Struthio camelus: one gene and its partners. The protein of the gene in region 2 interacts with the protein of the main gene of each other region in a biochemical or structural test. Links are inferred from orthologs where the notes say so. Each region holds a gene or a part of one and is shown on either strand. Other genes may lie near its edges.

Region 1 (8,129 bases), on a different chromosome or scaffold from region 2:
GTTTAGGGCTGGGAAGGGGCTTTGTAGCACAAGCCACGCATCTCCTCCCCTGCCTTTTCTGGAAGACTCTCCGGAGGACCGGCAGGAGAAAGGTCTTTTGGCTGCCAGCGGAAGAGATGGTGCGTTTTTCAGCAAGTTTCTCCTGCCTCTACAGCAGGGCTTTGGTTTCTGTGATTAAGTGTTTCAGGGCAGAGCTTGCAGTGCTGCGAGCCTGGATCCAGCAGCGACCTCGAAGCCGGAGACTCCCGTCAGCAGAGGGAACGGATCCTGGCTGGAAAGGGCAAAGAGCCTGGGCACGGCCCTGGAGCCACATCCTGCACCGGGCAAACCTCCAGCTAGCGAGGCTTTTCGCTAGGCAGGTGAAGAGGAACGATATGAGACAAACAGCGTTGTTGGACTAGCGTCTTTGAGATCTCAGCGCGCTCCAGAGAAGTCATCCATCAGACCTCTGTTGCAAGATTGTTCATATCAGAGTGGTCTGACCCACTGGTCCCCAGCCGAGGCCGGAGAGGGGATTGATTACTACTCGCTTGGCAAAGAGCAGCCGCTCGGCGTTGGGGGGGTGGAAGAAAGCGGCTTGGACGGACCGCTCTGAAATCACACCACCTTGGCTGTTGCCTCCCCTTGACTGCCTGCTTCATACGCAAACTGCTGTCCAGCCTCCCCTGCCCCAGGCAGAGAGGTATTTACAGGAGGAGATGATTTAACAAACCTAGAAAACACCCTCTTGCCTGCAACCCCCGCCTAGGAATCAATGCCTGACGTTGCCCCCCTCCTGACATTTCTCATTAAGCATTTATCGAGATGGTATTGTTTCTCTTTTTTCAAGTCCTCCGTTCTCCAAGTCCAGTCCCCATGGGATCCTCACAGCTCCTGGGTTTGACTTCTTTCCTGAAAACCTTGGCTCCTTCCCCCCTCTTTTGCTCTATGAGGTGACCCAGGACAGGGGGAGTTAGCAAGCCTTCCCGAACCAGGCTGGGGATGGATCTGCTCTGCTTTGACGCCACTTTTTCTGCTGCACTCCCACAGCATGAACCCAGAAGCCACGACATGCATGTGGGCCTGCATGTGAACACGTGCCAGTTGTAACCCGTCCGACGGCAGTCCTGACACGGCCAGCCCACGGTTCTGGCGTGGGACGTGGGGCTGGTACCCCACCAGGGAATTTGTTATAGTAAAAGACGACTTCAAACTAATCCTCTTTCCCTGCAGTACAAGGTGAGGTTCGCGTTTGCACAGATGCCCCTGATAAAGGCACAACAAGCAAGAGCTTAGCAGACAGCAAACAGATGCGGGGCCACCCCTGTGCAAGCCCTTCCCAGCAATGTTTCCCTCCAGAAACCACCGGCTCATTTGTTTCTCAAATCGTGATATTGTCCCAGAGCGCCCTGGTGTGATGGCCGGGAAGGCCAGCAGGGAGGAGAAGCCTGCCCTTCCCCGGTGATCAAGGCTCTGTCCACCCCAAACTCCCTCCTTGCTGCAGCCCAAGGCATGAGGGCACGGAGGTGAGTATTCCTCGGGTGCCGGCTGTGCTTTTGTCTCCGCTGATGATTGCTTTAGCCACATGGCCCGGTCACACCCCATTGCCAGCCGTGTACTTGGCCGGGGGGGGGAGGTCCCGGCGCCCCACAACAAATTCATGTTGCAGGAGGCACCTGAGCACCGCTGTGTCTCTTGTCGCTGGCCAAGGGACGAGTTTCCTCTCTTGGCCCTGCCTTCCCACCTCCATGCTTGCTTCCTGCCTTGCAGGAGCCGCAGCAAGGTGGGGGACATTGGGACTTCTCCTGGCAACTCAGAGCTATGGAGAAGGCAGAGCAGTACAAAGAAAGGGGTGGAACAGAGTCCCCTACGTGATTCCCCCCATCCATTTTTTACAAGCGCGGTGGAGCCACAGGATAGGTCTCTCCAACCTGGGTGCCAGGGGGCATTGCACATGCTCTACACTCTTCTGTTGGCCTTTGGGATGTGACAAGGTGTTGTTCCTCCACAACCCCTCTTGTCTTCACTTCTATAAATGAGGAGCCAGCAGCAGTTGCCAGGCTAGTAGCTATTTCCACCATCTCTGCAGCAACACAAGTTCTCTGCTCCGACCTGCTCCAAGCTCCTCTCGGAGAAGAGGAGCCGGCTGGTCACAGCACACCTCAGGCAGCAGCGCTCTCACCGTTCAAAGAGGTGCAGTCGCCTGGCCCGATAAGGCCCCACGATGCAGCTGCCTGATGGCGTTTGGCCTGAAGTTTGTACTCCCAAGCCCTGATACAGGAGCACTGCAGCACCTACCGAAGTCTTGTACCTAAACGGGTCTGAAACGTATGCCCCCGCGCTCTGCTGAATGGGTAAAGCCATACAAAGTGACAGATGCTGGGCAGACCTCATGTCTTAACCAAGGGGAAATCTAGCTGGTCAATCTGGAAGCTGAGCAGAGCTCGTTCACCACAGCTTTTTGTACCTGTCCCAATGCAAGGGGCAGAGACGGTCTTCAAGGCCGACAGAGCCAGTCAGCTGTAGGCAGGTCGTTCCTAGATGTGTGTTGGTCTGAGCTGAAGCAGAGTTTAGCACCTCCCACCGAGGCGAAGCTTGCACCTTTTGTTCATCTTCATTAATCTCAGCAGAGAAAGACTATACTCTGAAGGGAAAGGCCTGGCCGAAACTGCATTTGTGGATCATCATAAACAGGATTGCGTGTTTGCGTAGGGAGGGCAATGTGCCAGCAGCAGTCACAGCGGCGCAGCTGATCCTGCCCCAGACATCTCCTTTGGCACCAACAGCCCCAAGCATCACCCCCTGCCCTGCAGGCCCAGAGAAGGGGCCAGCAGGACTGCCCTTGCCAGGACCTACAGACACATAAGGGGAAGGGGCTCCCTGTCCTCTGCCACAGATTAAAATGCCAGCCCCAGGCACGTGCCAATGATCCATGCTGCCACACGGAGGCCTGCCCAAGGGCTTTCGGCTTACGGCTCCGCTTGCAATTCATGGCAAAAAGCTCCTCGTAGGCAAAAAGCTCCTCGTAGGCTCTTTCGTAGGCAGCTGCCCGCGGCAGGGAGATGGCCAGCCCCAGCAGGGTCCAGGGCCGTGGTGGTCCAGTGACATTAGGTGACAAGTCACCTCTCCTGCACCAAACCAGCAAGCTTGTAGGGACTTTCCATCCCATAAGCATCGTCTCCAGCCCCAAGTTGTTGGCTGACTCCTTTCTAGGGAAGCACTTGCACAGGCTGGGGCAGGAGGAAGGGATGGGCAGAGGTTCATGGAGAGAAGCAGCCAGTTGCTGCAAAAAGCAGGTCTCTTAGCATCTTTTTTACAGGGCAGCAGGCAGGTCCACACTACTGTGGGTCACTCCTGCCCGCTGCTGGCTGAGCAGGGACCACGCCATCCCAGAGGAGATCAGATCAGGAAGCTGGAGAGTGGCCAGGGAGCGAGCACTTGGCTCTGAGCCACAGTCCGTTCATCCGCCGGAAACACAGGAGCCTTGCCAGCTCCTCACAGCCGGGGACCCGTTCCCAGACCTGCCAAGAGCCTGCAACGGGCAGCTCTCAGGGTCGTGGCGCTTGCATTTCAGAGTTGATATCTGACCCATGGTTCTCATTCAGTGGAGGAACACTGCAGGCTTCAGCAGAGCCGTAGTCCTTCTCCCAGCTTTGGGCTGTGTAGAGGAGGTCAGAATCACTCACGTGGAAATCTGGCACAGCTGAGAGGGAGCTGCCTTGGCTGTCAACAGGAATGGCATGATGGACGAAACACATGTGTGATGGACCACGGGCACATGCAGTGGACAACAGGCACACGTGCTGGATGATAGGCGCACATGACAGATGGCAGGCACAGCATGACGGATGACAGGCACAGCATGATGGAAGACAGACACAACATGATGGAGGATGGTCACAGTGTGATGGTTGATGGGCACAACATGATGGACCCTGGGCAGACATGACAGATGACAGACACAACGTGACAGAAGACGGTCACATAGGATGGAGGATGGCAGGCTGCGATGGACCACGGGCACACATGACAGATGACAGGCACAACATGATGGACAATGGGCACAGTGTGATGGACCACAGGCACACTTGACAGCCATGGCACATTGAACAACAGGCATGCTTGTCATGCAACTTCATAATGTGTTGTAGGACACACCATGACACCTGAGAGCTGGGCCAAGCCTGCAGGAGCACAGCTCACTCCAGCAGGGACTGTGGCTGCTGCAGAGGCATGTCCGGCCCTGTGGCTCTGCCCTTGGGCAAATCATCCCAACACCTAGTCTTCTCTGGGTGGATGGCACTTGGATGGGCATCCGTCTGCAAGGCTGGTCCTTGGGCACAGAGCAATGATCGATAGACCTGTCTTATAGTGAGGTTAATGCAGAATAAGGTTCTGTTATGGACTGGATGCAGTGGTCACACTAGGTGTTACAGACTCATGTCCCCATCAGTGAGTACAGGCTCACGGCCTGGGAGGGCTACACCCCTGCGATGCTGGAGGTATCCCAACAGTGGCAGCTGTGCCAGGACCGGTCTTGAGGTGCATTTCCCCTGGAACGGGGGCAGCAGGGACCCTGTGAGCAGTGTCTGCCTCCCCTTGCAGCAGGGCTCCCACCAAGAAGGCGTTGGGAACCCATCAACCATCCTCTTCTGCCCCCTTAATGTGCCTCCTCACCAAGGTGGGACGTCCCCTCCATGGGCACCTGGGGCCCAGATCCCACTGGCGGACCCCAAGACCTTCCCCCCCTCTTCCTCTTGCAGGTGAAGAAAAACGGGATTGCCCATCAAAGTAAGGTACAAGAGCAGCTCATCTTCCCCCAGCTCGCGGAGCCCACGAGTGGCTCATGCCATGTCTTGCTGGGACGTGGCGCAAGGAGCCGTGACCTACCCTCAGCCCTGGGGTGGACAGCATGTTCAGTGCACACGGAGACAACGGGGTGGACGCCAGCCCAGCGCATTCATCGATCTGGGGCCGGAGAGAGCTGCCGCGACCCATCCTGAGTGGTGGGTTACGTCACGGCTGTTGCAAAGGGCATGCAAGGGGCCCAGGTGCTGCCAAGGTGGCTGGAAAATGCCGAGGGACATTTGTCTGCGATAGCTGGCCCCATGGGCAGGTGTTTCCCGTCTGCCATGGGAGCTGCTGATGTGCAGGGCAGATAAACGGAGTCAATGAGGGGCAGATGCGGCCCCGGGGGGAGCGTGGTGGGGGGCATCCCCTGCGATGAGAGGGCTGAGGCGGCGGGGCTGGTGTTAGTGGCACATTAACCGGGAGAGGAGGCAGCCAGGGGCAGAGTCCGGACCAGTGACGGGGTAGAGCGTCCTCCCCCGGGGTCGGGGTCCGCTGGGCTCTCCTGGCCGTGGTGATGCACAGTGCAGCGGTGTGGGGCATCGCGCGGGCAGCCTCTCTCCTCCCGACTCGGATCCGGGAGCCGCTGTGCCGCACCATGGCTGCCGGCCCTCTGCACGTCGCCCCGCCGGAGCAGCTGCGCCAGCCCCTGGCCGTGCCACAGAGGCTGCTGCTGGGGCCGGGACCCAGCAATGTGCCCCCTCGCATCCTGGCCGCGGGCGGCCGGCAGCTCCTGGGCCACATGCACCCCGAGATGCTGCAGGTGAGTCACCTCCTGGCCCTGCCTGCCTCCCCTCCCCTCCTCATCCTCACCATAGCCCCATTATGCAGCCCCTCAGGGCAAGGTGCCGGCAGGGCTCCGCGGGGATGAGGGCAGTGGTAACGGCAGCGGTCTCTTGCTGCCCGCCACAGATCATGGACGAGATCAAGGCGGGCATCCAGTACGCCTTCCAGACGCGCAACCCGCTGACCCTGGCCATCAGCGGCACCGGCCACTGCGCCATGGAGGCCGCCCTCTTCAACCTGGCTGAGCAGGGCGACGCCGTGCTGGTGGCCGTCAACGGCATCTGGGGCGAGCGCGCAGCCAACATTGCCGGGAGATTGGGTATGCCGGGGGGCAGCCGGGCTGCAAACCACACCAGTGGGGCTCAGGGTTTAACCAGCTGCTTGCGGGCTAGGACACCCTCGCCCAGGAGATCCTGCCCGCTGTCCCCATCCTGGGCTGCTGTGGCTGGAGACACTGCACTGGGGACAGGAGAAAGTCCTGGGTGAAGCCCTCTGCTTATGGTGGTTTATGGTTTTTCCACTGGGCAAATGCCCAGGAGGCCGGACTCTGGCCAGTGGCTCTGCTCCTGGTTAATATGTGACTTATTCCTCTGTGGAGCAGGAGGAAGGGCCGAGCCTGACTCTCACTCTGCCCAAATCCCTTCCAGGAGCCGACGTTCATAAGGTGCTGAAGCCCCCGGGCGAGTACTTCACCCTGCGGGACATTGAGGAGGTGAGTGCCGGACGCAGGCGGTGGGCTCCCTCCTAGCCCTCCAGCCCCGGGGCTGAGCGATTCATCTCTCTCTCTCTTTCCATGCAGGGCCTGGTGCGGCACAAGCCCTCACTGCTCTTCATCACCCACGGCGAGTCCTCCACGGGCGTCCTGCAGCCACTGGAGGGGCTGGGCGAGCTGTGCCACCGGTCAGTGAGCAATGGGTGCCCGTGGGACCCCGAGGTGGCAGCCCATGCCCAGTTGGCTGTCCGGGACTGGGGGGCGGGGATTGATTCATGACGTGTGACCTTGGGGGGCTGCGACACTCAAGGTTGGAGGAAAAGGGGAGGGAGGAAGGGCGTGAGGGCAGGAGGAGGTGGCAAGAGGCCAGGGCTGAGCTCTGTCCTCCCCCAGGCACGGCTGCCTGCTGCTTGTGGACGCGGTGGCATCGCTTGGGGGGGCACCTATCCTCATGGACCAGCAGGGTAAGAGCTGTGGGTGCTGTCGGGGGCACCCGGATGGACAAGAGGGTCCCACATGCCAGAGGTTCACACCGGGGCCTGGAGGGGGAGATAGAAACAGGATCAGCTCCATCACCTGTCAGTTCACGCCAGTGACACTAGAAACTGGTCCAGCTGTGGCCAGACACCCTGTGGCCACCTCCACCTCTCGGTGAGGACTACCAGAGGTGCCAAGGTGTCCCTCAGAGCAGGCCAAACACAACCAGGACCCCACAGCACCTGTGATCCACTCAATGCTCCCCACACACCATTCACAGCAGGACAAACGTGAGCGAGACCTGGGGCAACACGTTTCCCGCCAGGGAGCCCCCGGGTCTCTGAGGAGCTTTCTCTCCTCTTGTGCAGAGATTGACGTCTTGTACTCGGGGTCTCAGAAGGTCCTCAGCGCCCCCCCTGGCAGTTCTCCCATCTCGTTCAGCGAGCGAGCCAGGTAAGGACAGTTCTGTCCTCTCTGTGGGCGGCAGCCATGGGGAGAGGGGATGGGGCAGGCCGTAACCCCTCTCCTTTGCTGTCCATCTGGTCCAGCCCTGCCAAGGAGAGTGCTCCCAGCACCAGGTCTGCTGGGGCCAGAGCCAGGCCCTGTGCCGGCTAGCACCCCCCCAGCAGCGATGCTGGCCCTGGGGCTGGTACCGAGAGCTCCGCGAGAACCGCTCCCTGCTCCACACTGGCCCTGGCCCTGGAGCTGCCCGTGGGCCTGGAGCTCCCCTGGTGCTCTCCTTGGGGAGGCTGTGGCACAAGGCAGACCCCCAGCCTGGAGCTGATGAGGGGATGGGGTGATCCCTGCTGGGGGTCCCCAGAGTCCAGCTCAGGCCCTGTGCTCTGCTTCACCAGGGAGAAGATGCTGAGGAGGAAGACGAAGCCTCCCTCCTTCTACCTAGACATGGGCTGGCTGGCAAACTACTGGGGCTGTGACGGCAAGCCGCGAACGTGAGGAGAGGCTGTCCTGGGACAGATGGCCACAGGCATCCCAACACGGGTTGCTTCCCTTTGCCCAAAGCTCCTCCCAGCTTGCAGCACCCCCCCACCCTGAAAGAGCCCTTTCCTCCCAACCCAGGCACCCAGCATGGGTCCCCTCCCCAGCACAGCCTTTCGCCCAGCTGGCCGGTCACCTGTCCTGCAGGGATCTGTCACGCCGGCTCCTCCACGCAGGGCTCTGCCACCTCTCCCCATCAGCCCCATCCTCCTCACGGGCTGCCCTGGGTGCTTCGCTTCCCCTTGGTGCTGGGTGCGGTGGAGGCAGCAGAGCTTGGCTGCACCTCGGCCCACGCCACAAGCTGGAAGTGCCACTGCACAACGTGCCGGGG
Region 2 (8,153 bases):
TGTTAATGCATATTTATTCTGTTTGTTTATTCTGCTCCAAAAATCGAGCCTCGGGTTCAGAGAGTCTCCTCAGAGAGATGCCACTGCAGTAATATGCCAGCGTCCTTAGGATTTCCTACTTCAATTTCACAATTTACTCTGTTGCTCTGTGTGAGATGCCATGTAGGTCAGGAAAATTAGCAATTTATTACAAGTCTCTAGTGCTTTCCATCAGGCCCTAGCAAGCGTTGAGGCTTTATGGTACCTACTCCCAGGAATATAAAGAGAGAAGGTGAGTGAATGGGTCTACCTGGCTCTCTACAGTGGCTACTCCTGGGGGAAGAGAATAGCATCTATTTAAATCGTTCCCATCATTTCCAAGCTAGGTCATAGATGGTCACAGCTCTGTACACAAAGCAAGATGGCTTTTCAGATAAACTAGTACCTTGCTTGGAACACAGAGCTTATCCTATGGGTCAGAAACACACATAAACAAGAAGAAGCAGTACCAGCCCACCTCCAGAATTTGCAGCGGTTTGAATCATATTTTTTTTTTTTTTTTTATAAAAACAGTTTGAATAGCCTGCTTCTACTAAGTTTTGCAAGTAATCCTGGCTAAAAAAAAAAAAAAAAAAAAGCCCCTTACACCTGAATAGGAGCATCCTCACCGGATAGCGAGCAATTTGGCTAAGCTATTCCAAAGCAGCTTCTTTTCATGTTCACACTACTACAAAAAACACTGACTTCTTGGGCCCAAACAGTTACTCCAATTTCATATCCAGTAACTTAACTCTCCACTGTACAAAAACATGCGACTGGGCAACACCTCAGCCTTACTTCCAAAAGGGAGTCGTCACCTGTCACTTCAGCTATGAACTCCTGTGACCAGTCAGCCTCGTTGTAGTCTGAAGAGACATCACCAGTGCCATCTGCCTGAGCCAAGAACTCCTGGGTCCAGTTTTCAGACAGCGCCAAGGCTGCCACACCTGGAGCTACAGGAAGAAAAACATACATGAGGATGGGAGGACTCAGAGACATGATTTAAATGTCTCAGGCTCCTTCAGATAGCCATCATCTTCTCTGATCAGGTCCCTTTCTCTCTGTTAGACCAGAATCACAGGAAGATTTCACTTGAAAGGGAGCTCTGCAGGTCTCCAGTCTTCTCACAGCAGGGTAACTCCAAAGCTGGATCAGGTTGCTCAGGGGCTTGTCCAGGCAACTACTGAACATCTCCAAGGATGGCGATTCCCTGGTCTTTCTGGGTACCTGTTCCAGTGCTGAATCATCCTCCAAGGAAAGAAACTTTTCCTTACATCTATAGACAGTTTCCCTTTTTACAACTCGTCCCCACTGCTTCTTGTCCTTTTGTTGTACATGACTGCAAAGATTCTGGCTCTGTCTCCCCATTACGTAGCTGAAGGCAGCAATTAGATCCCATCTTAGCAATTAGAATCCTCTTCTCCAAGCTGAACAGACACAGTTCCCTCAACCTTTCCTCTTCCATCATGTATTTCAGCCCCCTGACATCATCTCACAAGTGCTGAATAGAGGGGACCCAACCTACTGGGAGCCTAACCAAACTACAAAGGTCTTTTCCTGCTCTCCACATACTGCAGCGCCTCTCACCTCGCTGAGGGGCCTGTCGGAAGTTTGACTGCTCAATCTCCTGCATCTCAGCCAACAGGTCATCCATCTTAAAGGTCTGGGGTGCACGGGACAGTAAAGGGGCATTCTGCTCTTGCAGGAACTCTCCAACCAACTGCGAAAGAGACAGATGGAGAGTGAATATAGTGCAGAAGACAAACAGGCAAAGTAATGGAGCATGCGAGAAAGGAGCAGGCTAGGTAGAAAGAAAGAACAAACAGAGAAAAAAAGTATCAACTGAAGTGTTAAGAGAAAAAGTAGTAAGGAAATATATCAGCCTGTTCTTACCTCATCTTCAGAGGCCACTCCCAGCGGTTTGGATACCTGCAGGGAACAGTGGGCAATCACCCCAACAGCTTTGACACTGTACACCTCACACACCAAGGCCTGATAAATTCACATCCTCCTCTTCCTCGAAGTTAGGCTAGCAGCACTTTCTTAGCACTACCTGCCTGCTTACGCAGAAGCCGAAGGAGAAGAAACAGCCCCAGCGATGTTTGCCTAACTGCTCCCGCTCTGGGCCGACCCCCACGGCAGTAAGGCACGCAGTCCACCGCAGCCATCCATATCCCCCCCAAAAAACCAGTAGGGCCCCCAGAGTCCCTCCGGCCTGCACGCCCCCACTCCGCGCTCACCGCCCCCCACCGCGGGCAGGCCCCAGCCCGCCCCATCGCCGCGGCACTCACGGCTCCGGCGCCGGGGGCCCCCCCGGGCCAGCTCAGGGGGCCCTGGAGTCCTTCCTGCCGCAAGGCTTTGTCCTGCGTGAAGTGGCCGGCCAGCTTCATGAGGGCGTTGGAGCTCCCGCACTCCGGTTCCACCAGCTCCCTCATGGCCATGGCGCCAAACCCCGCCGGGCCTCACCTGGCGCCGGGCGACACCGACACGCGCGCAGGCCCCGCCGTGAGCGACATGGCTACGGCCGCCGCCCCCGCCCGGCCGGCCCGGTCGCGCCGGAAGCATGTGAGCTGCGGGGGGGGGGGAGGGGGCGCCAGGCCCCCCCGCCCCGGGGCAGGTCCTGGCGCAGAGCCCTGGCTCCGCGACGGGCCGCCACGGCGCCTGCTCGGCCGAGGGCAGCCCGGGCGGGCACAGTCACCAGCGACGCGCAGGAGCCCCGCGCCCTGCCGCTGCCGGGCAGCGGCGCCCCACAGGCTGGCAGCGTCTCCCCCCCTCCCTCTCTTCCTCGACTCGCCCGCCAGAGGAGCCCCCTCGCCAGGGTGGCAAGGCCGCAGCGCCCCCGCCCAGCCTCGCAGCCCCCGCCCGCCCGCCCGCCAGTCCCTCCCGGGCCACCAGCCCGGGCGGCGGGACCCCCCGCGCCGCCCGGGCAGGATGGCGCGGCCCGGGGGGCTCCCCCCGTCTAGTGCCTTACCGTGGGTCCGCCAGGGCTTGCGACGCTCACGGGGCACGGCGGGGCGGGGCTAATCCTTAAAGGAGCAGGCACCAGCGGCGCCCGTTAAAGGGGCAGTGCCCCGCCGGCTCCCGGCGCGCAGGGGCTGCTCCGAGCGCGAGGTCTGCACCCAGCCGGTGCTGGCCGGCGGGGAGGAGGATGGGAGGCAAGGCTCTCGGGCCGCTAAAATATTGCAGCTGGTGGTAACAGGTAAAAACTGTGCATTTAGCTGAAAAGTATGTAGTAGCCATAGATACATAGTAGCCATTAGATAAGCCATAGAAATGTCAACTCCTTAAAAGTTTTCATCCCTTTTGCCACATGTGTGATCCCAAAGGAAGAGCACCGGAGAAATCGGAGCTGATACAATCATAGCTTCTAAAAGAAAGGGAGAACCACGAAGAGGGGTTTGCACGATGTATGCTGCCTCCTGTGACATTAGGGTGCTTTAAAAAGTATTTGAAGAATCAAATCCTGTCTCCTCCTTCTCAAAAGGAATATGTTCCTCTGTAACATCCCTGCCACGCTTCCTAGATGCAGTTCATCTGACTAAAAGCTGATGTCCAGTGCTGTTTTAGACACTGTATTCCTTGGCAGTAGATCTTCTTGACTGCTCCCCTCACAGCTTTGAAATTCACATGACGTCTATGGCAAGCAGCATGGTTCAAGGGAAACAAATCTCTTCAGAGATACAGTTGGGGCTGGAGAGCCTAGATCTATACCAAACATGTTTGAGCGGTTTGCTTTGGATTATCTCTTCCCTGACCCCATGGACTGAACAGCAATTAGTGCTTGAAGTGCATTAGGTATGCTCTCAGGGCACATCTACTAGCTTAGTTTCCTCTGAGAGGAGTCTAGTTTGCACACTCTGAGACTGTTCTGCAATATGAACCAAAGCACAGCAAGTGAGGATGACTGGAAGATTCACTTTGAATGCCCGCTTCTGACATCAGTTCAGGCACTAATGTGGAAGGAAGCACCCTACATCTGGCAGGCAGCTGCATTAAGACATCAACACTTGAAAAGCCATTGACATGACCGCTCTTACACATAGAGCCCTAGGCTGCATGTGTCATGTAAAGCTGGTGAAATACATTTCTTTCTTCTAGATGTCTGCCTTATGATATTGCTCTCTACTTGCCTGCAAGTTGTAGTCAACCTAGGACCAACCTGGTCCTTCCAGTGTGAAGCTCCTGGAATGAAAAACAAGACTTGCCAACTATTAAAAAATGCTATTCCTATACATGTGTAGTAGGATCGAGGGTCAGTAAGAGCCTGTGAAAAGAGACAGAGGGAAGAGGCTTTTGGAGAGACTCCTCAATTATGTTTAAGAAAAACAGATGGAGACAGTGCTGATCCTAGGGAAAACAGTAGACTGAACAAAGCTGTAGATAGGAAGAGTGTAGGCAGTGAGATAATAAGGCATGGGCAAAATCCAAAAGCAAGTGAAGGAGCAGTGAAGAACTGCAGGTGAAGCAGCTTTGACTCATAAGCATTTGTGTCAGGATCTTGAGGTGCATCCATGACACTAGCTTATGATACCTGTTCAGCCTGTCTTACTGGTTTAGGGCAGGGAGACGCAAAGACAGCTCAACAAGAATGGCATCACTGCCTCCATTCCTCAGCCTGGAGAGCAAGAACAGGCACCATAGGAAATGTACCCGCTCTCATTTCTGCTGCCTGTAGCAACAAGACACAAAGAAATACAGCCTCTCTTCTTTTGCCCTCCCATCTTTCTCTTCTCATGGGAAGACAGTGCCTTTTCCCTGGCTCTTGGCTCCCTTCAGGCACACCCAGACTCCTGCAAAACAGCACTATGACTCTGCACACCACTGAACCAGTTCTAACATTAAAACCCTTTGATCTACTGAAAATGTGACAGTATCATTTGCACCAGTCTGAAGATAGCCTGTAGGAGGCCTTGGAGAAGTATCTTCCACAGCTTGACTTTCAATCACACGGTTTGCCGTTGTCCTAAGGCTAGAGAGTGAGGAGTGGCTGCCCCTCTCCCCCCCCCCCCCCCCAAAAAGGAATAGGAACAGACCTTGCAGGGTGAGGCTGTCTGGGTCTTAGACCCAGAGCAAAAGAGCCAGGAACAAAAGTCAGATGCTCATTTATCCTTTTCAGCGCTAAGAGACTGTGCTGCAACTAAAGGAATCAGAAGTGGCAGTAGTGGCAAAGCATGTAGGACCACGACAGCTATAGCTGTCGGTGGGTGAATTTCCTGCTGAAGCCACAATTATTTCTGTTTGCAGAAAGCATAAGAAGGTAGAAAGCAAAAGGTCCAATCTAAAGTCAGGAGAGAAGACTTCAGTCTGTTCAGACACATGCCTGGAAGAATCCCATGGAATAAAACCCTGAGGAAAGAGGGGTCCAAGAGAGTCGGTTGATATTCAAGGATCACCTCCTCCAAGCTTAAGAATGGTCCATCCCCATGAGCAGGAAATCAAGCAAAGGCAGCAGGAGACCTGCATAGATGAACAAGGAGCTCCTGACTAAACTCAAACATAGAAAGGAAGTGTACAAGAACTGGAAGCTGGAGGAGGGATACAAAGATACTATATGAGCAGGCAGAGATGGGATTAAGAGAGCTAAAGCTAAAGTCCAGCTAGAGTTGAAGCTGGAAGGGGACGTGAAAGGCAAAAAGACTTCTATAAGTACATAAGCAGCAAAAGGAAGGCTAGGGAAAATCTGGGCCCGCTACTAAAGGAGACAGAGGCACTGGTGACAAAGGACACCAAAAAGGCAGAGGTACTGAATGCCTTCTTCGCCTCAGTCCTTACTGGTAAGACTGGCCCTTAGGAATCCCAAGCCCCTGAGACCAGAGGAGAAGTCTGGAGAAAGGGAGACTCTCTTGCTGGAGGAGGATCACATTAAAGAACACTTAAACAAACTGGATATACACAAGTCCTTGGCCCCTGATGAGATGCACCTGCAAGTTCAGAAGGAGCAGGCTGATGTCATTGCAAAGCCACTCTTGATTATCTTTGAAAGGTCTTGGTGATCGAGAGAGGTTCCAGAGGCCTGGAAGAAAGCAAATGTCACCCCCTACCTTCAAGAAGGGCAAGAAGGAGGATCAGGGAAACTACAGGCTGGTCAGCTTCACCTTGATCCCCGGGAAGGTGATAGAACAAATAAGTGGTCAGTGAGGTGAACTGAAAACTGGTTGAACTGCCGAGCTCAGAAACTTGTGATCAGCAGCATGAAGTTCAGCTGGAGGCCAGTCACTGGTCGTGTCCCCCAGGGGTTGATACTGGGTCTAATACTGTTTAACATCTTTATTCATGACTTGGATGATGGGACCAAATGCACCCTCAGCGCATTGGCAGGTGTCACAAATCTGCGAGGACTGGCTGATACACTAGAGGGTTGTTCTGTCATTTAGAAGGACCTCAGCAGGCTTGAGAAATGGGCAGAGAGAGACCTCATGAAGTTCAATAAAGGGAAGCGCAAGTCCTGCAGCTGAAGAGGAATTGCACTAGTACAGGCTGAGGGCTGACCAGCTGGAGAGCAGCTTTGCAGAGAAGGACCTGGGGATCCTAGTGGACAGCAAGGCGAGCATGAGCCAATAATGTGCCCTTGCAGCAGAGAAGGCTAATAGTATTCTGCACTGCATTAGGAAGAGCATTGCCAGCAGATCGAGGGAGGTGATCCTTCCCCTCTCCTCAGCACTAGTGAGGCCACATCTGGAGTACTGTGTCCAGTTCTGGGCTCCACAGTACAAGACAGACATGGATTTACCAGAGTGAGTCCAGCAAAGGGCCACAGAGGTGATTAAGGGACTGGAATATCTGGCATACAGGGAGAGGTTGAGAAAGCTGGGACTGTTCAGCCTGGAGAAGAGAACGCTGGGGGGGGGGGAGGGGCGGATCTTATTGATGTGTATAAATATCTGAAGGGAGAGCATAGAGAAGATGGAGCCAGATTCTTCTCAGTGGTGACCAGTGACAGGACAAAAGGCAATAGGCACCAACTGAAACACATGAAATTCCATCTGAACATAAGAAAACACTTTTTTCACTGTGAGAGTTGTTGAAGACTGGAGCACGTTACCCAGAGAGGCTGTGGGGTCTCCATCCCTAGGAATATTCAAGACCTGACCGGGCACAGTCCTGGGCAACTCTAGCTAACCCTGCTTAAGCATGGGGGCTGGACCAGATGATTTCCAGAGGTCCCTTCCAACCTCAGCTATTCTGTGATTCTGTACAGTCAGCAGACAGAGTAATAAAGCGAATGAGGCCTTGCGTGCAAAGTGTAAATATTTTGGCAGTGAGAAGTAAAATATCAAAAGAACCTCAGTAACTCTTGGAGAGGTGAGGAAAGCAGATGGTACAGTTCCAGAAAAGGCTGTTCTGGGCTCTGCATCACTCTGCCATTGTCAGTCTGAGGGTCGTACCCTGCTGAAGGCCCTGAGCCTGATGGAGACCACTGACAGACTGGAGGTCTCTGCCTAGCCATTTCCCTGTCTTATAATGTCATGTAGGATGAAGGTCTCTGCCTAGCCTTTTCTCCATCCTATTCCTTTCCAAGCGTAGAACTTCGCATTTGCCTTATAAATTGTGTTCTATTCTTTCAGGCCATATCTCCCATTTGGGAAGATCATTTGAATACTGATCTTGTCTTCCAAATTCATTGCAACCTTCACAGGTTAGTGTTGTCTGCAAATTTGATAGGCACACTTTCTAATCCACTAAATAAATCACTGAAGAAACTATTAAGTAGTACCACTCTGAGGACAGATCTGTGCAGACCTTCTTCTTGACACATTTTTCCTGTTAGACAATGTATCATTAAAAACTAATCTTAGATTAGGCGGGCAGTCAGCATCAGACTCTCCTAACAGTATTTTCAGTAGACTCATCTACCTATTTTCCAATGCTTCCTAGTTTGTTTGTAAGACTATCAGATGAAGCTGAATCAAAATCCTTACCAAAGTCAAGACACATGACATCTATTTCTACTTCATTACCCACAAGGCCTGCTACTTCGCCATGAAAGATTGGTTTGACGTGTTGGGTTTTTTTGACAAATTTGAGTTGTCTACTTGCTGTTTATTTGTAGGCAATAAAGTAAAGCTGACTGGTCAGTAATTCCTCAGATACTTTTTTTTTTTAAATAGCCAGTATGTTTTGCCTTTTCCAGCCTT
Region 3 (7,340 bases), on a different chromosome or scaffold from region 2:
GCAGAGGTGGCCACCTCAGCTTTCTGATTTTTAATCTTGAAAGGAGAAAGATCATTTTTAACTGCTTATAACGAGGAGATCTTGACACCTTCTGCAGCCGCCTCTCCCCTGGGTAAACAATTTCATTTTCCCAAAAAAGCAGTGCACATTTAATATCTCAACTGGAAGTGAGAAGTCCATGTTTCAGACAAAGGAAACCGTCAACTCCCCCTAACGATACGTTTTTATGTTGCATCTTGATGGAAAGAACAATTAGTCCTACTTGCCAAACCCACCCGGAGGCCCTTTGATTTTTCTCCCTCTTTTGTTCTTCCTAAACCCCAGGAAATGCAAAACACTTTTTGAAAAGAAAAGCCATTACTTTTTGGTTCTCTCAAGCTTGAAATTGAAATCTTTCTTTGCCAAGATCTTGCACCCCACCTCTGACAAACACACAAGCTATTAGCTCTGTACTGCACTGCTTTTTTGTGGAAAAATGCTGCTGGGCCAGCAAAGTGCTTAACGGAGCTGTGAGAAAGGTCTCACCAGCACTTTTCTTGCTCCACAGAACCAAATTATAAATACATAGATTACAGGGATTGTCCGAACATAGCAGAGAGCCATCATTTTATTTTTGCAATTGCCAGCTCTGTGACAAACATGACAAACAATTGCAAGTATTGGCTGAAAAACAAGCATCGGAGTGGGCAATCTTACCGTTTTGGATGATACAATCTGCATCCTGGCTAAAAATCTATATCCTCCAAACTATCCAAAACATGCTGCTTTGTACCTTTTCACTCCTTTACCTAACTCCCCTTCTCTTCTAGATACTGCTATTACCTTTAAATGTTACCGGTAAAGAAGTGAGTCATTTCTTCTCTAAACGCTGCTGCCTGTTTGCCTCCAATCCTCTTGGGCCTTGCTGGCTCAACAACGAAAGGACAAGCTTAGCTCTAAACTCCAAGATGCTGCCCAGCACTGCAACTAGCTCGCTGCTCCTTAACACTTTTCTTCCTCATCCCTTAACCAGCCTCAACACTACTATCATTCTTTTTTTTTCTGGCCACCTAAATCATTTTAATACCTCAGGAGTTAACTTCGCACGAGCAGCAGCCGCAGGATAATGGCAGTTTCTGTCACCTTTAGCGTGCTCTACAGGGTGGCAACGCAGAGCGGTGGTGATCCTGTCCAGCCGCCCAGAGAGCGGGAGAGAAACACAACCTGTAGTTTCGCCCAGCTCCCTGGAGCTTTTGTCTGCCCTGCGCCTGCTGGTCACCTCTCCTCATCCCAGTATTACTCAAACTGGCTTGATTTTGTCCCCTTCCTGCTCCTGCCAAGCTGGACGACGCGCCTGGGGACAGCTCTGGAAGTGCACTTTGCCTGCAAGAGAGGTTTCTCCTCCTTCTCAAACAGAGGCTGGGTTGGGAAGGCCACATGAGCCACAACATAACACAGTAGCCTTTCCAATAAAGTCACAGCACCCCCGCAGAGGGGGCTGCTGTGGGTCTTGTTTTATAATTAAAAAAGCAGCCTCGTTTCAGCAGCAGTGTTATTGCTGACACAGTCCTCCGGATTTGAGCCTAGCTCAGAAGACGACTTAAATGTTTTTGTCTACCAGAATAATTGGCACGATCCCAAAAGAGTTTCAATACAGTCTCACTGTGCTTTGGTCTCGTTGCATTATACAAGTCTTTATCTAGCTGGGTCATACCTTCCAGCTGACCTTGTCTGATACTGTTTTAACAGCGACCAATAGCAGGTTAGAGAAAATCCAGAGGAAAAACAACAACACACTTCACCCAGTTGTATAAAGCTACACAGAAGAACCCTTGCTGAATTTCACAGGTGATATGTATACTCAAAAGCAGGCTATTTCACTGTCCTTCTAACTTCAGATCACATACTTGGAAACATGGAGAATAATCATAAAACACACACTCAAACTTCAAACACGGCCAACCACAGCCCGTGTCCTCATAACCTCTGTTTTGACAGATGTAAAACAAGATTCAATTTATTTCAATAAGAAACACAACTACCATATTCCAAGTGCAACATTGGAGAAAACTCTTTTTCGCAGGTATGTGGATTTTTGTTTTGTGTAGGCCATAGCTTGCTTCATACGTTGTTAAGAGACAGCTTGGTAGCAGTACCAAGTGCAATGGACTAAGCAAACTCTGCATGGTTTACAGCAAGTCCCAGAGGAAGGCCAAAACCAAAGCAGAGCAGATTTACAAATAGCAATGTTTTAAATAACTGAAGAAAATGCCAGCTTCTTGTATACAAATCTAAATTTGAAGAGAGCAGAGAAAATTTACAACCACGCCACAAACATCCTTATGTTTTTAGAGAAAAATCTAAGATAGATTGCGCTTGCCTTCCTGTTGTTCTGTGTCCAACCAACACCTGCTAAAGCGAAAACTCATAAAAGGTGTTCAAGCTGACAGCAAAAGGGTTCTGTTCTACCCCTCACTTCCTCCTCCAAAAAACAGGAGATGAAGCAGAGGAATTCCTCCAGAAGGTCTGGCAATGGTTAATGCTTTAAGCATTAGCTTGACATTTAAATGTAGACCGAACCAAAAATATGATTTAATGAGAAGACTAAGGAACCATCACAACCAGAAGCATAAGCAGCTTCAGTCTAAAATCATAGCGAAAACTGAATCCTGCAGCTGACCAGCACTAGCTTTGCCCTGCACAGAATTCAAACAACAGCCTGGCCTGAGCTCAATACCACTGATTTCATGCAGATGTAAACAGGAACGGGGCAGGTTTAAGGTCTCAACTCGGCATTAATACAAGCAGTCTAGTATTGAAACAGTTTTGTGTTGAACCCCTAAAGCTCTAACGCAATCCCCAGTTTAACCAGACTTACATAGCAGCTGGCATCCATTTCTTATCCACACCTGCTTCATTCTGCAAAACCTCTAGAGTATGTGCATGATAGCCCAGTATGGCTCGGGGCGGCCTGGGCACCAGGAAACAAATGGAGCAGCCAAACACAGATGGCAAAAGGGAAAGCTTGCCTCAGCTTTAGAAGCCCTCAGCCCTAAGAGCATGTGCCCACAGCAGGCAGTCTGTCCCCTCCCAAGGAGCAAAGGCACCATCACCCCCAGGCCTTTGGTGCTCCCCATCCCATTCCCAAATGCTCTCTGTTTCCTATTGTCTCCTTACTCCTCAGACCCTATTGCCCAACTCCAGGACTGTCTTTGCCACCAGCCCCTCCACTCCTATTCCCCCCTGCTTCCCATCACATCCCTCCCACCCTCAGCATGCAGCTGGACTCCCAATCGCTCCACCTCAACCACCAGCACCACGTCCCACCAGTGTTCCCAGCTCCAGCAGCACACCCACCATCCCATCTCTATCTGTTCCCCCAGGGCCCCTTCCCAGGAGCCTGACTCCTGCTGCCCAACCCTCACCCACGCCCAGACCTGCCACTATCCCAGTGTTTCATTCCCCAACTCTCATCCCATCTCTCCTCCCCAGTCCCAACAACCCCCATCGCTACCCAGTTCTCCTGCTTGCCCCCAGCACCCCATCCCTGCCCAGTCTCCCACCCCAGTACCCCTACCCCTCACCCCCCCAATGCCTTGGCACTTGTCCCACTTTTGCCCCCCCATACCCTCAGCAATCACTCCCTGCACTTCTCCCTTGCCTAATTCTCCAGGATTTGCCCCCCAACCCCTGCCCATTCCCCCCAGTCCTCCCAGTTCCAGCACTCACTTTCCCAGCCTCCTCCCAGGCCCCCAGATCTCGCCCCCACCCCTGCCCAGTCCCCCCCAGCACTGACCCCCCCCACCCAGTCCCCACCCCAGCACACACCCCTCATCCTAGTCCCCCAGGGTCCCCTCCCAGTACTCACCCCTATCCCTTCCCAGTCCTCCCAGTGCTCCCCTCCAGCGGCCCAGTAGAGTCTCCACCCCAGTACCCCCCCCATCCCATCCCAGTGCCCCCTCCCAGGATCCCCTACCACCTCCCACTTCCCCCTCCCAGTACTGCCGACCCCTCCCAGTGCCCCCAGCACCTCCCAGTGCCCCGGCGCCCCCGCCCCACTCACGGCGGCGGGCGGCGACGGACACACCGGCTGTGGGGGCGGCCGCGGCGGAAGCGGAAGCGGAGCGGAGCGGAGCGGCCGGGAGGACTCGCGAGGAGCGAGAATCAACCCTCCCCCCGCCTAGAGCGGCCGCGCCCCTGCCACCATAGAGGGGCGCGAGGCGGAGACAGAGCGCCGCCGCGCCCCACTTCCGGGGGAGAGCCCCGAGGCCGCCGCGCTCCGCCGCCGCGTTGAGGGCGTGGGGGCCGCCGGCTCCCCCTGCCGGCGGGGGCGGCGCCATGGCCGAGCTCGGGGCCCACCTCACGGCCACCCCGGCCGGCGACGACCGGCCCTCCATCTTCGAGGCGGTGGCCCAGGACAGCCTGATGGCCGCCGTGAAGCCGGCCCTGCAGCACCTGGCCAAGGTAAGGGCCCGGCGCCTCCCGTTCCCTGGGCCCACTTTCCATGAAACGGCTCTTTTCTGTGAAATGGCTGTTCTCCATGAAACGGTGGGCGACGCACGCTTCACCCAGAGGACAGGAGATGTTGGCGGTGGTGGGTTTGGTGCGTGGCTGGAAGGGTTCATTACTGGGCAGCGTGCTGCTCCCGCGCGTAAGCAGACCTGTTGCCCTATTGCGGCGCATGGGTCCTGGCGTCGGAGGCGATGTGAGGGGCTGCTGGGCGCCCTCCCTGTGAGTCTACAGGAGCCTCTCTCCAAAAAAACAAGTCCCTTCGGTATTATGTTTCTCATTTCCCTTGTGCTCTTCAGAAACTGCTTACTGGAAGCTGTCTTCAGACTGCCTGGCAAGCGTTAACCGCCTTTCTCAACAGTGTTGTGTCGTGGGGAAGGTCCCTAGAGGAAACTCAGCAGAAGGGTTACATGGCCTGTCCAAGACGGTAGCTGAAGTGCAGGACAAGCAGTCTGCGCCTGCACAGAGGGTGCAGACTGATGCAAGCTCCCTCTGCCCTTGATTCAAGCAAGCCAGAATCAAGATGGAAAACAGAGTTGGCTTGTGTCCCGTTGACTCAAGAGAGCTCAACTGTATTCATACGCAGGGAGGCATGCCTTTAGCGAGGACAGGTAATGTAGACAGTGAATACTTGACAGTGAATGCTTTGAGGGGAAACTGCTGCACAGAGAGAACGTCGAGAGTTTGAACACCGCTCTCTCAGCTGAGCTTTTCATCACCAGGATTCACATTTGGCCACAGCTGTGAGCAAGCATAGCAGTTTTGACCCATTCAGCTCACTTTATGAACTGCAGGCATAGTTTACAGTTACTGTAATTTAGCATCTGTCTGCACCATCAGCTCCTTCCCCATTTTGTGTTTCTTTCAATAGGTGCTGGCTGAGTCGAATCCTGGCCGATATGGCTCCCTCTGGCGTTGGTTTGATGAGATCTACATCCTCCTGGATTTACTGCTCCAGCAGCAGTATCTGGCCAGGTGCAGTGCCTCTTTTTCTGAAAACTTCTATGGCTTAAAGAGGATAGCAATAGGAGACTGCAAACAATCGCTGGCCAGTGCTGGCCTGCCAAAGAAGCAGCACTGGAAGTCTCTCCTTTTGCTTGTTCTTGTTCCTTACCTGAAAGGAAAGCTAGAGAAACTGGTGTCCAGTCTGAGGGAAGAGGATGAGTACTCCATCCACCCTCCCTCATCGTCCTGGAAGCGCTTTTACAGAGCCTTTCTAGCTGCCTATCCATTTGTAAACATGGCCTGGGAGGGCTGGTTTCTTATCCAGCAACTGTGCTATATCCTCGGGAAAGCTCAGCATCATTCACCCATGCTGCAGCTGGCTGGCGTTCGCCTGGTGAGACTGACTGCAGATGATATCCAGGCCTTGGAGAAGAAATCTGCAGTAGCCGCCTCGAGTCGGACACACAGGTACATTAGAACTCTGCTTAGCAGCTACTTGCTAGGAGGTTCTGTGGGTGGGCTGACGTAGAGGCAACGCCCCTAGGTTAAGCTGTCTTGTTCTCCAGAAAGATGAAGTTTACATGTGGCAAAACCCTGCTCCAAAAGGGAATGTCATGATAGTAAGTGTAAATAAGGAACAAAGTAAGAGGCATTAGCTTCACAGGAGTTTGTGCTAATAAAATCAGAATGCTTTTTTGGCACTCCAGCCTCCGTTCCATTCAATCTTTAGCTGCCCTTTTCTATTAAGGGAAGCAGACTGTACCCATTTTGCTAAAAGGACTGAAACTTAGCCACAACTAGTCATGGTCACATTTAATGTCCTGTAAAATGATGGTCCATGAGTGAAATGTTCTGTGATCCAGGTCCCCTCAACCCAAACTCTTCTGATTTAGACCTCTGAATAAAACAGGACTTGACATTTTCCTAGAGATGCTATGCTCTTCTTAAAACACAAAGAATCTGAGAGCAACACCCTAGCAGATGTCTCATTACAAACATGGAACATGTTAACAAAATCATTTAGCATTAAGAAGCTGTATAGAGCAGTAACTTACCCCAAACCTTTTTAGCCTTGGTTTGCAGAGGGACAAATGTGCAGTACTGCTAATTTCTCCTTTCCTTCTCTCCCTGCCACAGCATTAAGGCACAAGTGCAGTCAGCAATGAAGAAAGCTTTGGGTGGCATTGCCTTCTCCCTGTCCACTGGGCTGTCTGTCAGCGTATTCTTCCTTCAGTTCCTGGAGTGGTGGTACTCCTCGGAAAACCAAGAGACGATCAAATCTCTGACAGCGCTCCCTACTCCTCCACCACCAGTACACCTTGACCATGGGGCGGACTCAGCTCTCTTACCTAAACTGAAGACCATGTGCCCGCTGTGCCGCAAAATTCGAGCCAATGCCACGGTCCTGTCCACGTCTGGCTATGTATTTTGCTACCGCTGCGTGTATAATTACGTGAAGACTCACCAACGATGCCCAGTCACAGGCTATGCCACAGAGCTACAGCACCTTGTCAAACTGTATTCCCCTGAGAGCTGAAAGGCCGGCTCTGTGCTTTCACAGAGATGCATCTGAGACTGAGTGGCAGGGCCACTGGGTAGCAACGAGCCTGAATTTGCCCTTTCTGATGTCCCCGAGAAGACCATCGACCAATACAACTTGCAAGTGGATCTCTAAAGCTCCTTTGAGTCCTACAGATTAGACTTTTGCTGCCTTGGTAAACTTCGATAAGGCTCGCCCTCTTGTTTTTTAGCCATTCAAACATCCCATGACAAAGCTCCAGAAGGGTAGGACAGTCACGATCTGTCAGTCAGCATAGAAACACCTTCAAAGGCAAACTGAATGGGAGGAGACATTGATTTGGATAATAAGAATGCAGATGTGAGAACCAAAGAGCACTGCTGGCAAA

The links.
Region 1: the proteins of PEX5 (region 2) and AGXT are reported together in a solved structure, tested with the Homo sapiens proteins (2 studies listed by BioGRID and IntAct, with this or other methods). The link is inferred for Struthio camelus from reciprocal best matches to the Homo sapiens genes PEX5 and AGXT.
Region 3: the proteins of PEX5 (region 2) and PEX12 form a complex in vitro, tested with the Homo sapiens proteins (2 studies listed by BioGRID). The link is inferred for Struthio camelus from reciprocal best matches to the Homo sapiens genes PEX5 and PEX12.

What each region holds. Positions count from the first base shown.
Region 1 is NC_090950.1:3,953,160-3,961,288, reverse strand, and holds the start of AGXT (alanine--glyoxylate aminotransferase), read left to right. Parts: upstream 1-5,006; 5' UTR 5,007-5,344; coding exon 5,345-5,590; intron 5,591-5,739; coding exon 5,740-5,932; intron 5,933-6,260; coding exon 6,261-6,325; intron 6,326-6,412; coding exon 6,413-6,513; intron 6,514-6,718; coding exon 6,719-6,789; intron 6,790-7,170; coding exon 7,171-7,255; intron 7,256-7,656; coding exon 7,657-7,752; intron 7,753-8,129. UniProt on the Homo sapiens protein: Peroxisomal aminotransferase that catalyzes the transamination of glyoxylate to glycine and contributes to the glyoxylate detoxification.
Region 2 is NC_090942.1:90,422,072-90,430,224, forward strand, and holds the start of PEX5 (peroxisomal biogenesis factor 5), read right to left. Parts: upstream 3,102-8,153; 5' UTR 2,990-3,101; intron 2,581-2,989; exon of another isoform or gene 2,485-2,580; 5' UTR 2,460-2,484; coding exon 2,310-2,459; intron 1,948-2,309; coding exon 1,912-1,947; intron 1,739-1,911; coding exon 1,606-1,738; intron 972-1,605; coding exon 837-971; intron 1-836.
Region 3 is NC_090957.1:14,844,292-14,851,631, forward strand, and holds the start of PEX12 (peroxisome assembly protein 12), read left to right. Parts: upstream 1-4,217; 5' UTR 4,218-4,317; coding exon 4,318-4,443; intron 4,444-5,359; coding exon 5,360-5,901; intron 5,902-6,488; exon of another isoform or gene 6,489-6,570; coding exon 6,571-6,970; 3' UTR 6,971-7,340. UniProt on the Homo sapiens protein: Component of a retrotranslocation channel required for peroxisome organization by mediating export of the PEX5 receptor from peroxisomes to the cytosol, thereby promoting PEX5 recycling.